Linked DNA regions of Oreochromis niloticus. The protein of the gene in region 2 purifies or fractionates together with the protein of the main gene of each other region. This does not show direct contact. Links are inferred from orthologs where the notes say so. Each region holds a gene or a part of one and is shown on either strand. Other genes may lie near its edges.

Region 1 (7,153 bases), on a different chromosome or scaffold from region 2:
TTCTGTTGTAGACAGAATGACACGGCTGTGTTCAGCTGTTACATCTGCCAAAGTTTACAATACACTTTGATCTATAAACAGACTCCATGATTTCTGTGCTATGCTTTGATTTCAAAGTGCAATGAGACACTAAACTGCATCATTTTCAATAAAAAAAAACTGGAAAATTGGTTTATTCTAAAACTTCTGACTGGTAGTGTGTATTTTATAAGGTGAAGATCCTACACAGAGCAAAAGAAATCACAAACAATAAACATGGCAAAAAGAAACTATGAGCGAATATAATCACTCTCATTCATGGTGGGACGTCCCCCAGCAGCAGCCTACAGCATAACTGACAATAAATAAAAGAGCACGAGACAAAGGTTCATCATTAATAACGGCTCCTACACATTACACGTCTTACCCCAGCCCAGGACACCCAGACCATCGATCATGGTGGTGTGAGAGTCAGTGCCCACCAGACTGTCCGGATAGAAGAGCCCATCCTGGTTAAACACCACGCGGGCCAAGTACTCCAGGTTGACCTGGTGAACGATTCCTGAACCAGGAGGAATAATCCGCATGTTTCTGAAGGCTTTCGAGCCCCACTGCAAAGATCAGAGATCACATTTATGGACTGAAGCATCAGACTTAAACAGACATAAGAGGTTCAGTTTCACACCTTTAGAAACTGAAATCTTTCTTTGTTGCGGTCAAACTCCAGATCCTGATTTTTCTGAAGGCTGTCAGACCTGCGTGAGGAAAAACAGGTGAAATCAAGCAGTGAATAAAACATCTATGAACTGACACACAGTGGAAGAAAGCAAAGATCTTACTTCCTGTTAAAGTCCACTTGGATGGAATGATCAATGACGAGGTCAGCGGGACAAACTGGATTAATCTTTTCTGGGTCGCCACCTAGTTTCATCACTGCATCACGCATGGCAGCAAAGTCGACCACCGCAGGAACGCCGCTGCAGGACGCAGCACAGGCTGATCAGGGACAGTGCAGCTCAGAAAGTAATATTACCTTTTTAAATGTGCACTAAATATGACTAATAATAGACTCCAAAGCCATTTGTTTGGGCTCTATGTTAAAGTAGAAACCTGCTGCTTACACAGTGGATAACTTTTTTTAAAATACAGCTTGCTTTTAGCAGATGCTGCTGCAAACTGCACTTAAATCCAGATCTAGTTATTTCACTCAAAGGTTCTTTTCGGACCTGAGATGATGTCTGCTGAAACAGTGATTTAAGAACACCTGCACACACCTTGTGATATAACTTTCTTGTTACAGACCAAGGCGAGGTTATTTTGATGACATCACTGAGACACCAATGTGCAGTACACGTAATTAAATGAGTAAAAGGCTTCTTTCTCTGCTAAAACAAATCACTGACATTTAAATTCTGAGGAAAAGACATACGTGAAGTCCTGGAGGATGACCCGAGCTGGCCTGAACGGCACCTCCACAGTTTGGAACTGCGTCTGCTTCCAGTTCAGGATGCTTTCCACATCCGAACGCTTCACTAGAAACTCATCACAGTTCCTGACAGCAGATTCCAGGAGGACCCGGATGGAGAACGGCAGACGGTCTAAGGAGCGCATGTGCAAGTGAATACTCCTTGGTTGTATGCACCAACGAGATGCTTCACATTAGCATTAGGTGTAGATGTGCTCCTACCATATCTGGGATCTCCAAGCTTGGATAGATTGAAAAACTGCTGCTTTGGCTCTTTGGGGTCCAGAGGCTCAACTATGTGCTGAAAAGGATTTTTCACAGCTGCCGACATCTTTTCCTAAAAGAAGATCAAAAGCCTGACTCACATGATGCAGGATAAAGAAGCGTGGATAACAATAGTCCCTTTACCATCTGTTTTTCAAGTACCTTTCAAATATGTCAACAACATACAAACCAAACAAAGACTCACAGGAAGGTAGAGCCTCGGGCCTATTACTAGTCTCATAACGGGAGGTGGATTTGCTTGGATTTCAGGACAGGGTTAGTGGAGGGTCGTTGACCTCGTGCTATGAACATTGCATAACTCCATTTCTTTAACTAAAATGTGACAGTAACTGTGCATCAGTCACTTGCAGCTCAAACACACATTAAGTGAAATTCAGGTTGTGGGGCATGACAGACCTTAGAAAGAGGCGTTATCTGTGTGAAAGGTGAAATGTCTGCGCACCTTGCATGACCACATACTTGGCTGGTTAGCTGCAGTTCAGGCTAAACCTCTGCTGTCAAGTGCAAAGTCAAACTGCCACGACAGTGACAAAGACATGCACCGTTGCTTTTCTTCTAATGATTTAGTGTAACAATCTAGACGTCACACTCCTGCCAATACGTGACGCTGACTTTTAGCTCACATTTGTAGCCTCGGTTTATGCCAGCTGACATTTTTACCAGAATGGTCCCAGTTTCAACCAGAATGTTTACACTTGAAGCCTGATGATAGTACAGCTTTGTCTCCACATCAGTCACGTTTATATATCATCAGTAAAAACGTGGAAGTGTGAAGAAAACCTGACCTGCTAACTATCACGGCTAACTGGACCCGTTTAGGAATTAATGTAGTTGATGCTACGTGTTAGCATAGCTTATGGGTCAAAGTTCAGCATGTATGAAGACAGGTATCAGACTTTTATTCAAAGATAAACATTTAAATTGAATACTAAAACCAAGGAAAGAAACAATAAGCATATTATTAGCTAATAATTCAGATATAATATCTTATTAGCGTGAGTTGGTATAAAGCATAATGTGAATAAATTAGCTTTCATAGCGACATAACGAGAATTTCAGTTCAGATTTTCTTCTGGAAAATCGTCAATAAGCCAAGAAACTAAATGTGGTCGGATAGTTATCGCTTACTTTAGATGCAGTGTTGAAGTATCACCGGATCACAGCAGAGTTTGGTCACAACCAGCTAGTCGCCACAAAACCTGCTGCTGGTTCCGCCCAGGTTCCGCCTCCACTGGCGACACTTCCGGTTAGTTTTTTATTCAGAATAAAAGCTGAACCGACGCCGGGCTTTGCAGCTTCATATCCACGTATATCTGACAACTATGGAAAGGAACTGGAACGGGAAATGGATTATTTATTTATTTATTTTCGGTGGGAGAAAACAAAACAATTGTTTGGCTTTTATTTATATTTTATCTATATTAAGAGGGAGAGAAATGCTGAGTGTGACAGAAAGACCACCAGAACCACAGTCAAGCATGGACTGTTATGCTTTGGAGCTACTGAGGGTACAGGATGACTTCACCACATTGAGGGGCCAGACGGGTCTTTCACCATAAAATCTTGGATGTGAACCTTCCTTCAGCCAGAACACTAAAGATGGGCTTCCAGCATACCACTGAGTGAAAACATACTGCCAAGGCAACAAAGCAGTGACTAAAGAAGGAGAACATTAAGGGCATGGAGTGGACTAGCCAGTCTCTAAACTTCAGTCCCATAGAAAATCAGTGGAAGCTTGAAAAAACAAACTAGGTGATTAAGAGAATATCACGTAGTCTGGGCATTTAGTTAGTATTAGGCAAGACATTAACTAATGCTATTAAAAACTATCATGAGCAAACCAACATGAACCAAAAATGGGGAACAGCAAACCTAACACAATAATTTATTTCTTATATTGTACACATTCATAAAGAGAATAATGACCAGCATGTTTCACTGCAACCAGGGAACATAAGATAAGATGAGATAAGAACACCTTTATTAGTTCCACAGGTGGGAAATTTGTTTCGTTACAGCAAAAGTGCAAAGTTATGCAGCAGTAATTAGAAAACACTGGAATGCAATAGAATAAAGTAGAATACAAATGCTATATACAACTGAGTAAGAAAATACAAAAGTACAACTTTGTCAGAAAGAGAATTGCACATATAGCATCTTATTGCACATGTGTGTGTTTGATCAGCTGCAAAAGTCTTTGTTGTGGAGTCTGACAGCAGTGGGGAGGAAAGACCTGCGAAATCTCTCCGTCCCACACCGTGGGTGCTGCAGCCACTGAAGGAGCTGCTCAGCTGTCACAGTCTCCTGCATGGGGTGGGAGATGTTGTCCAACAGGGATGACAGCTTAGCCGCCATTCTCCTGTCACTCACCACCTCCACTGGGTCCAGAGGGCATCCCAGAACAGAGCTGGCCCTTCTGATCAGCCTGTTCATATACAGGAAGGCAGCAATCCGACTATCGCCTTAAAATTGTATAAATGAGAGTTCCTCCGACTGGCCAAAGCAGCCGTCCTACCTGAGAGTATAACTCACAGTGGTGAGTGTGAGATTTACAGTTAGTGATGAACCTCAGGGAAGCACAATACACAGTATCAACTGTTCAAAGACGTTGAGCAGAAGCATTCATATATAGAATATCTCCATAATCCAGCACAGGTAACAATGTTGCAGCAACTAGCTGCAAACCCAATGCTACAATATAGCATAGTGCAGACTGTATACTAAAAGATTAGCTGCTTTTATCAAAATGACCAGTAGATGGTGCTGCTGCTATGTTCTTACATGTATTGTGTCATTGCTTTACATCTTGATGACATAGTAAATACAGCACGTATTTGACAAGGGTCAGATAACAGTCGGTGTGTGGCTCGTGTTAAGCTAACACATCTTTATGGTTAGTAGTTGCAGAACTACTTACTTACGCTGGTTGTGTTTTACACAGTAGCATACTGCAAGTACAGCATTGCTTGCTTCCAAGACTGGCTCTGTGTGGACATGCTGGTTGAGATATAATATGAAATGGACTGGTGCTTGTATACAATCCAAGGAGCTTGAAAAGAAAGCGTCTGGACTTCTTTAAGTTTTCTTGAAGACGTTTCCTGTCATCTGAGAAGCTTCTTCAGTTCTAAGTGTAATTGTTGGAGAGTCCCAGATTTTAAGCTCTATGGGAGAGTCCTATGGGACTGCTTATACACGAGCAACTACAATGCTCAATACAGCATGGATGTAGCTCCTGGAACACTGTAGAAGGAAACAGTCATCCCCAGTCAACACTTTCCTGATGAGTATTTTACCAAGATGACAACAGGGCAAACATTCATCTCAAGGTTTCAAAATGAGACTTTACAAACCACATTTGACCTTTTACTTTTCCATCCATCTTCCATTTATCTGGAGCTGGGTCTGAGGGGCAGAAACCTAAGCAGAGTAACACAGACCTGCCACACCACAGCCAGCTCTTCCAGTTTATCTGGGCAGACACTGTGTTGTTTCCAGTCGAGAGATCTAATCTCTCTAGCATGTCCTGGTCTTACCCCGGACCAGGACCCAGCAGGACACGCCCTGAACACCTCGCTCATGAGGCGCCTAGGAAGCATCCTAGACCTGGCTCCTTTCAGTGTGGAGGAGTAGCGGCTTGTATCCACAATCTCATTTTTTCCAAAGCTATCCAAAGCTTGTGGCCACAGCTGAGGGTACGACTGTAGTAAACTGACAGCTTTGTCTTTACATTCAGCTCCATCTTCACAATGACTGACATCTACCCATCTGTCAATCTCCTGCTCACGTCTTCCCTCCCTTTAGTACAAGACCCCGAGATCTAAAAACGCCCCCACTTAGAGCAGTGACTCGTTCCTCACTGGGACATGGCTGAGGATCGTGGCCTGAGATTTGTGGGGCCTCATACCTGCTGTTTCAGCTACTGTGCTGTGGCTTCAATACTGATGAAGAAATCATACAGATTTCTTTATTCAGTACATCAGGATCAGCGCATCCACGTAACTGTCAACTGCTAAGCTAGCACACGCACATACAGCCGGCGTACCTGTGTACTTCCGCTGGTTTCAAAATAAGAGTTCGAACATTACATACTCCAGTGTGACCTGGAGGTCACCTGATGATGGCACAGACCCACCAAAGCAAGACTCAGCTCACCTCATTCCAGGCGCTTGTCTGCTGGAGACCATGAGCCTTGTTAGTCACACATTAGCACCGTGGTAGGAAACAGCCTCCATCATTTCATTAGATCTGAATTTGGACTGTTTCCCTCTGGATGAGAACCAAGTCTGTCAAATCTATTGATCCAACACAAACTATCAAACACATTGGCTCACAGTCAGATTGGCTTTGTATGGATGGTGTAACAGGGGCTGGGAAAGGATGCTGAAAGCTGAATATAATACAGAACAATAACAGGACATATAATCATGTAGAAACATGAAACATAAAACATAAATAGAAGAAACTGGCAGCTTTTTCTGTTCTGTGCTTCTTTATATTTGACACACATGCTTCTCTTTGTGCAAACACACATCGCACTATAAGGGTAACCTAGCACACAATGATTGGACAGCACAGTGATGATGCTGGGAGATCCTATACGAAGCAACACAGAAACACTGAGAACTTTAAACATTGATTATATTGAGATAAGCAGCCGACCCAGTCTAGATAAAGGCGAGCAGCTGGGACCGCTGCTGCACCAAAAACAGGTTTCAGTGTTTCCATGTGTGTGTGTGTGATGTCTTTACTTATACTGGTCAATAGACTTTAGTCAACACATGATTGAAAGGTGTTACACATGAAATAAAAACAGTGTTTCATCTTTATTCCTCTGAAGCAGCTGCATTATAACCAATCTGCTCCTTTGTGGCCTTTAAAACAGCTTAAATAACTGTTGTTATATTTGTTTCTGCTCCTCTTGGACAGACGACTCTTGAAAAGACATTTTTGAATTTCAATGTGACTTTAACTGGATAAATATGGGATATATAAACGTCCCTCTGCAACAAACTGATTCCAGCTTCTACCTCATGATAGGAATGTTTTTGTGGCTCAAGATGACCTGATATCTTTCATGATGGAGACATTTGACACGTTTCACATATTATAGACCAACAAGTTATTCATAGCAGTTTAAATACGGGGAGTCACTTTTGGGCCCAGCAGATAAAACAGAGCCAATATTTCCTTCTTTATTTAAGTGACGTGTGTCACAGATGTGACCTAGTAAAGTGTAGCTGAACATTAGTAACGTTATTAACACTCTCAGCTGGTCCTTGTTCCAGACCTGAAGATCCTCTTCTTTCATTCAGCAGCAGCTTCAGGTCTCTGATGGTCCAGGGCTTGTTGTTGGGAAACAGCCCTGCTGGGATGATGGTGTCCTCACAGAAACAGTCAGTGATGCTGTTGATCTCCATCACAGAG
Region 2 (7,801 bases):
TGAAGTGCACCTTTTAGAAATGTCAACCACTTTCTAAGACAGAGTGTTCTTTCATGAAGCTGGTGACTTTAACAGTTAAAACATTGTCCCGGTAGTACAGAGGTCCGTTATCAAGGAGACATTTTTGACATTTTGCAGCAAGATACATGCAGGTATAAACAAGTTAGTCAAGCCTAAATTGATCAAATCATAAGAAATGCCTTAATGGACAGTCAAAATGTCTGCTGGACATGAGTTATCACATTGCATTAGATCTAAAAGACAACTGATTGATATGCTTATCTAAACGTGTGGTATATTGAACAGTGGGGTTACTTGACCAGTTATAATGTGCTTAAGTACGAAGCACCAGCTTAAATACATACTCACTCACCATAATCTGTCTTCTCGTGATCAGCGTATTTGAAGGCTTTCTGCAGCTCCTCCGCCTGGCTCCACAAACTGAAGCCCTTTAGCACCTCTGCGGCACTGTCCAATTGCTGTTGGTTGCAGTGCTGCGCTATCACTTGTTTCTTGATGTCCTTGAGCTCCTCATAGCTGAAGTACTGCATAAGCATAGGCTGAAACACCTGCAACGAATCTCCTCAGTTTACAAACAGCTTGCAACAGTTTAATTAACTGGGACACAAACAGACATGTTTTTATGATAACTTCCAGTGTATTTTTTTACCTTTTGTTGTTCAACATAAATTGGTTTTAATTGATGTCCCACACAATGGGTAATTAAAATATGTTTATATTAAAAAAAAAAAAAAAGAAAGGAAAAGAAATTTGAGCATCTTATACCTCCTCTTCCTCCTTCATGTGGGGCAGAAAGTCCTGTGTGAAAGCTTCTAGTCTCTCCTTCAGCTGCTGGGCATAGTTAAGCTGCTCATATTCACTCTAAAAACACACAACAATGATTAATTCATGGTCTGTGTCCAAATCACCCTTACTCAATCACTACTCCCTACATTGAGAAGTACATTTTGATTTTGCATCATCATTAATGGCTGTATTTTGCAATAATTGTTGTACATTAAAGTATTATTTTCTATTCAAAAATATTTTAATATCATTACTACAGGAGTTGATTTACTCAGGGTAATTTCTCAGGGTAAATATCATGAACTGTTTTTTAACACAAATGACAGGAATTCAATATAATCTAAATATTTAGGACACTATTGTTTTTCCCAGGAGACAGTTTTCCTTGGGACAGAAAGCAGGATTTCTCCTGAGAGCAAAAATAGAAAATGTTTTCTGATTTCCAAACTGGCAGCGGAAGTTCGGGTTTACACAATTGCATAATTCTAAAAAGGCCTTTATTTTTGTCTTTTATTTCTTGGGGTGGAGGTTTGCCCATGGCTTGACAGAACAATAACTCTTGTCTCTCGATAAGCAGATCACAAAAATAACCCTCCCTCTGTTCCAAGTAGTTCAACTTACTAACTTCATGCTTAATAACTTCATTCATCCTTTTTCTTCTTTTAAATATGAAACTGTAACACTAGAGAACTGTCACAAAAGTGGATATAACAAATAAATAACAGTATTATTCCACACTTAAAGGAAGTGTAGTATAATTAACATGCAGATTTCTCATGGCACAATGGGCCTTTAGGGACTGACTGCCCAAGTGTGTAAGTTAGCTAAAACTAATTCTCATTTATTATAACACTGGTAATTTTGCTTTGCATGTGAGTAAAACCGCTTTGAAGATGTGCCGGAAATTACATGTGTACATGAAAAATAACAACCCTTGATGTCTTTGTATGTACTATAATCTTTGCGTTGCTGACATGATACTTATTCTAATGACTGAGTGGTACCCAACAATTGAGCACTGTACTATATGTTTTTCCCCTTACCTAAAGCCAATGTTTTTCTGGTTAGCTATTTTTAAAGTTGCATCAAGTGAAATATAGGATCATAACATGACAATAAAATGTGTATTTTAAAATGCTAGTCGATCGTTACCTTAATACTATGAAGCCCTTTCTCAAAGAGGGACAACATCTCTGAAAGTTTGTTGTCAGAGTGTACATTGTACACCGTGCAGCAGCGCTGCTGCAGCAGCCCGATAATGTACTCGTTCTCAATTTGCTCATGCATCTTGAACTCCTTAAATGTGGCGCACAGGGACTGAAGAAATGAGCGGAAATCATTGTTGTTGGAGAAGTTGGTGTTGGACAGCTGTGGAAGAAGAATTATCAAATAAGATCTTTGCGTTATTTCTTACAAAATAAATCACCACATAAGATCCATGTGATCTATTTTAGCGTTTCAGTTGGTAGGATTAGACACAGTAACTGATACGTATATGTAAACATAGTGGCTGTATGCCAGAGAGTGTCAAATCATCAGTGTTGTAGCCGAGCTAGGGTTAGTGAAGCACACCCTTCGTGCATTAGCTGTTGCAGCTAAATGAGCTTACCCTAGCTTGTCTTGTTAAGACACTTCTTATTAATATATGCACCACCCTTTGTGAAAACATTAGAAACTCCAATGTGGCACTTAAAGCACGTTATATAAGCTATCTTGCAAGTTAGTTAGGCTAGTAAACAGAAAAGGCTTTTAGCTGCGGAGAGGAGTGGCTATAAAAACTTTATTAGGTTCAGTCGGTTAGGGTTTCACACTGCTGGAAACGTGAATACTACCACGTAACGCTGACCACAGATCAACCAAAGGGTCTCAGTGTAGTCGTCAGACAGTCATCCGACAGTTCATCTCCTTCGACTGACTCAATTCTTGCTGCTATTAAGCAAGCTAGCTAGCTAGCATGCTAGCAGGCGTTCGCTTCACCTTCGGACACAAACCGCCAAAAAATTGTTCGTAAATCTGCAAAATTAAGGAACGACAGTTATTTGTACACACCTTTTCGCAGTACAGGCCCACCAGCTGCTTCATTCGCCAGTGCGGGCCAGTAAAAACATCCACCTCGTCCGGAAAAGGAGCCATCTTCACTGGACCTCACTGCGTCATCTGCTCACAGCCTTCGATACAATCAAACAAGGAGGCGTGAGCTAGCCGCCCGCGTCACCGCGGCTTGTAAATCCAGTAAATGTGTTTAGGAATTTAGTCTAAATTTAAAAAAAATTAAATTAAATTAAATTAAACAGAATTTTACACTGGGATATATATTTTATGTTGTTAAATCGTTTGCGATATTACATAATTTGTTTGAAAGACGAATACCTTTGTGAATTTCATTTTGCTACGCATAAACAGCCAAATTCCTAAAAATATAAATACAGTATGCCATACTTATTTAAATATACAGTATGGTTTATATATGACTTTCAGGTTTTTGTCAGGTTTTTATGCGGCAGAGCCCACATAAAGTACAGAAGACCTAAATCACCAAAAATAAGACTGAAATAAATTAATCAGTAAATAAAGAATGTTACTAAATGCTATGAAAATAAGATTAAATTGGGGAAATTATTTCATTAAATGTCTGACCCACCATCCAAAGAGAAAGACTACTGCAATTGCTGCAGGAGCACTAAACTACTGTTTACCAAATAATTAAATTAAGTTCACACTGCAATAACTTATCCACCATGGTGGGTGTTTATGTTTTTCATTACCCAACTGTAATAATTAATTTAAGATAAGTCAATACCAATGGAAACAATAAACCTCGAAGCCTATCCATACTGAACACTTTTAACAGTAAATAAAAAAATGGAGAATTTTATAAATATTTTATAAATAAATAAATAGACAATTAGATAATAAATACAGAGGCAGCTTTTATATAATAAATATGATTTATAATTTATAATTTGAATCAATACTGTGGTCTTTCAGTTTGACAGTTACGGTACTCCATACAGGTATTACGAGGATAGTGTGTTACTAAGTTGAGCGAAGCTCTGTGGTTTAGATACATAATACGAAAATACTAGATGAAGTAACTAAAAAATAAATACATTTTAACTAAATTAATCGCCAAACGTTACACGTTCTCCATGCTTCTCAGTTGGTTTGCGGTTGCTATGGAAAATGTCCACAGCAACGGTGTCATTGGGGGCGGAAACTGGTAAGCGTCATCCACAATAACAGATGATGGACAGTCGTGTACACCAATTAATGTTCGGTCTTGGTACATCTGACCAATGAAAACGTACAAAAAAAATGTAGCCGTAGTTAGATAGAGAGTGCGAGGACAGTATCAAGTACCCGAACCTCTATGAGAAAGGCAGCGAGAAAAGACTAATGGTAAGGCACACACAAACGTATACGGCTACACAGTGAGCCGGTGATATTATATCAGCCAGAGTTTTGTGCATTCACAGGGTAAATATTTTATGACGCTTCCATCTTCTTCTAGCTTCTAAGTAACGGAAACGCTAGCTGTTTTGCTACCAGCTGTGTTGTGTCTTGCATCTCAGCATCACAGTCCGTCTCATTTTCTGTCTGACAGCGGTCCACAATGGAGCTAACATTACATTTCCAGGATGACGCACAATTGGCATTATTGAGACTACCAAATGTTTGCCTTTTATAAAACTGCTGTCACGGAACCCTCGATTAAAGCCTAATTACACCGAGCAATAGCATTAGCATGTTCTTGATGTCTTTGCAGATCCAGCATGTGGAGCCAGTCATTCCAATAACATGGACAAGTACGAAAAGGTGAAGAAAATTGGGGAAGGTTCATTTGGAAAGGCTATCCTGGTCAAATCCAAAGATGATGGACACCAATATGTCATCAAGGAGATTGGCATATCTGGAGTAAGCTTCTGTGCATATATTACACAAGCTTCGCATGTTGTTTTCAGCGTGCGCTTCATCTCGTTACCCTCTTCATTACTTTGACAGATGTCCAGCAAAGAGAGGCAGGAATCTCGGAAGGAAGTTGCTGTTCTTGCCAACATGAGTCATCCAAACATCGTCCAGTATAAGGAATCTTTTGAAGGTATTAATGCCATTCAAATAGCTCATCTGTTTATGTGAAGAAAATATTATCAAATGTGCACTGTGTGATAACTACATACTATAAGTTTTTTATTTTATTTGTACTTTAATCCCAGAGGGTGGCTGTCTGTATATTGTGATGGACTACTGCGAGGGTGGAGACCTATTCAAAAAGATCAACTCTCAGAAAGGGGTACTGTTCTCAGAAGAGCAAGTAAGCCAGCAACTACTCGAGGCAGTCACTGTGCAAACAGTATACACATATTGGGTTAAACTGATCACGATAAGTATGGTTTACTGTAGTCTCCCTTTTTGAGATCCTAGATTGGCTTGTGCAGATCTGCCTAGCGCTCAAGCATGTACACGATCGAAAAATTCTCCACAGAGACATAAAATCACAGGTATTGTTTCATAAATCACAAGACCTCCCTTTAAGTGATAAGTTGTTTGTTTGCATGTATTGGTTTATTTACATGTGTTCTCATAATGCTTGTGTAGAACATCTTTTTGACAAAAGATGGAACAGTTCAGCTTGGAGACTTTGGAATTGCAAGGGTGCTGAACAGGTATGCACACTGTTGTCTGAGTAGCCCTGCAGTTTTTCATTAAGCATAGATTTCAGACTAAAAGTTGAAGAACACTTTGCATTTCTGGTAATAAGACATTCTGTTTTACTACATTTAAAAAATATTATAGTTTATTTTGTTGAATTTGTGTTATCTGTACACTGCCCTTATTTTAGCCAATTTGTTAACTTGTTGTGTTTAAATTATTGTTTTGTTTTTAACTGTTGTTACACAAAAATATCTTTTGGTTAAAACAAATATGTCTGATCTTATAATGTATTACATGTTTTATGTATTTATAAATTTTATTCTGAGGGTCTTAAGTGCATTTATTATTGATGTTGATTTTTCTCCTTTTTTACAGCTGTTTTTGCTTTGATTTTTATGTTGTTGTTTATATTTTTGCACATTAGAAAGTGCCTATTTGAAATATTGAAGCTTTAATATTAAAATGTGCTATTTTTCTGTTTTTCAGCACTGTAGAACTGGCGAGAACTTGCATAGGAACACCATATTACCTGTCACCAGAGATCTGTGAAAATAAACCATACAATAACAAAAGGTACTTGGACTTCTGGAATATCGTACATTGGTGTCTAGTTGTCAAGCAAATTCAATAGTAATCAATGGGACAAGGTGTCTCCCCACTGAATCTTGAGTCTGCAGGATTAGGCGGTGGCTACAGTGTAATGTAAGGATATCACTTCTCCTTTTTACTGAGTAAACTTGCACGCTTACATCTACAGCAGGAAGCTGGTATTGATTTTTCTCCTTAGCTATTTTAAGTGTACATGCAATTTAACCTACTTTAGTTACAATCAGTGAAGTAAATTTAGCACAGTCTAAATGATCTGGAGTTTTCTTGTCAATAAAGTCTTGTTTTCATCTCAGTTTATAAAAGGAAAATAAAGGGCATGCACTTGACTGTTGATACCTTATTGAATGAATGATAAACTTAACCCAGAACTTATCCCTGCCTACCCATTTGTATGTTCTCGCCTCTCATTTTCCTTGCTTTTCCTTCCTGCTGCAGTGATATTTGGGCCCTAGGGTGTGTTCTGTATGAAATGTGCACTCTTAAGCATGCAGTAAGTATTCTGTGTGAGCTGTTTAATAATTATTGTACAGTATTGTAAGGTGTTTTATGCAGCATTTACTGCTCTCTCACATACTAATTTTGATCTCTTCCTTGTATATTCTATATGTATAACTGTAGTTAGATAATACACTGAAATTAATTTCCAGTATATTAATTCCTAATTAAATATCTAATCCAGTACAGTCCCCACATTAAGAATCCCTATATAGTTCAATTGTCTGCAGTAATTTCTATGCAGTGGTTACAGCTGTGTGTGCCTTTGCATTTGTTTATTCTCAGTTTGAGGCTGGCAACATGAAGAACTTGGTTCTTAAGATAATCCGCGGGTCATACCCTCCTGTGTCATGTCATTACTCCCAAGAACTGCGATCTCTCCTTGCACAGCTGTTTAAACGCAACCCCAGAGAGCGACCTTCAGTCAACAGCATACTGGACAAACCTTTCCTCTCCTGCAGGATTGAGAAGTTTCTCACACCACAGGTAGACTCTGCAGCTGATTGTTAATTGTTTGGGGGGTTTTCTTTGCAAAAAGTAGATTGCTCATTAAATTTCTTACTCATTTCAGATCATTGCTCAGGAATTTCGCCATACTTTTCTTCACAAGCAGCCTAAATTGGGTGTGGCACAGATGCCATCAGGTGAGCAAACTCATGATGAAGAAGACTACAAGGGGTCTGCCTTCTACAGCTGGTTTGTAGATTCAAGATTTAGTCAGCCACGAAGTCAGACACATATCAGTGGCATTATGGGGGACTATTACACCTTAAATCAAAACTGATAAATGAAAGATGCTGGACTTTTGCATCTGTCGTGCAATAATCTGCTCATTTCTTTTTGATTTTTATTATGTTGTGAAAATACACTGTTTATTTTGTGTGTGTGTGTGTAGGTGCGCACATTGGATGACTAAAATACAAATTTTGTTTGTTTTTGAGTTTTTCTTCTAAATTACTTCTGGATATCTCATAATACCAGCCTCAGCCCAGAAGATTACAAAACCAGCCGCCAAATACGGAGTGCCTTTAACTGTGAGGAAGGTCCCAGATGGAGCCAGAAAGCCTGCAGACAAGAAACCAGCTGGAAAACACAAACCGGTTAGTAGACTGTTATTGGTGATGACAAACTGGTAAGACCGATCTTTAGTCATGAAGTTTGTTTTGTTTGTTGGGGGGGCGGGTTTGCCTTCTTATGTCAGAAGCTGTATTTGTTGTCAATGCTTCTCCCATTTGTG

What was found.
Region 1: the proteins of fbxl5 (region 2) and aco1 purify together in Homo sapiens (affinity purification with western blotting; 3 studies listed by BioGRID, with this or other methods). This does not show direct contact. The link is inferred for Oreochromis niloticus from reciprocal best matches to the Homo sapiens genes FBXL5 and ACO1.

What each region holds. Positions count from the first base shown.
Region 1 is NC_031967.2:277,707-284,859, forward strand, and holds the start of aco1 (cytoplasmic aconitate hydratase), read right to left. Parts: upstream 3,005-7,153; 5' UTR 2,858-3,004; intron 1,782-2,857; 5' UTR 1,776-1,781; coding exon 1,667-1,775; intron 1,578-1,666; coding exon 1,409-1,577; intron 957-1,408; coding exon 819-956; intron 735-818; coding exon 665-734; intron 591-664; coding exon 407-590; intron 1-406. UniProt on the Homo sapiens protein: Bifunctional iron sensor that switches between 2 activities depending on iron availability. Iron deprivation, promotes its mRNA binding activity through which it regulates the expression of genes involved in iron uptake, sequestration and utilization.
Region 2 is NC_031986.2:36,966,193-36,973,993, forward strand, and holds the start of fbxl5 (F-box/LRR-repeat protein 5), read right to left. Parts: upstream 3,022-7,801; 5' UTR 2,941-3,021; coding exon 2,857-2,940; intron 2,176-2,856; coding exon 1,960-2,175; intron 883-1,959; coding exon 787-882; intron 570-786; coding exon 374-569; intron 1-373. Other genes in the region: serine/threonine-protein kinase Nek1, read left to right, coding at 4,606-4,722, 4,810-4,906, 5,022-5,119, 5,223-5,306, 5,404-5,471, 5,947-6,033, 6,505-6,559, 6,850-7,050 and 2 more.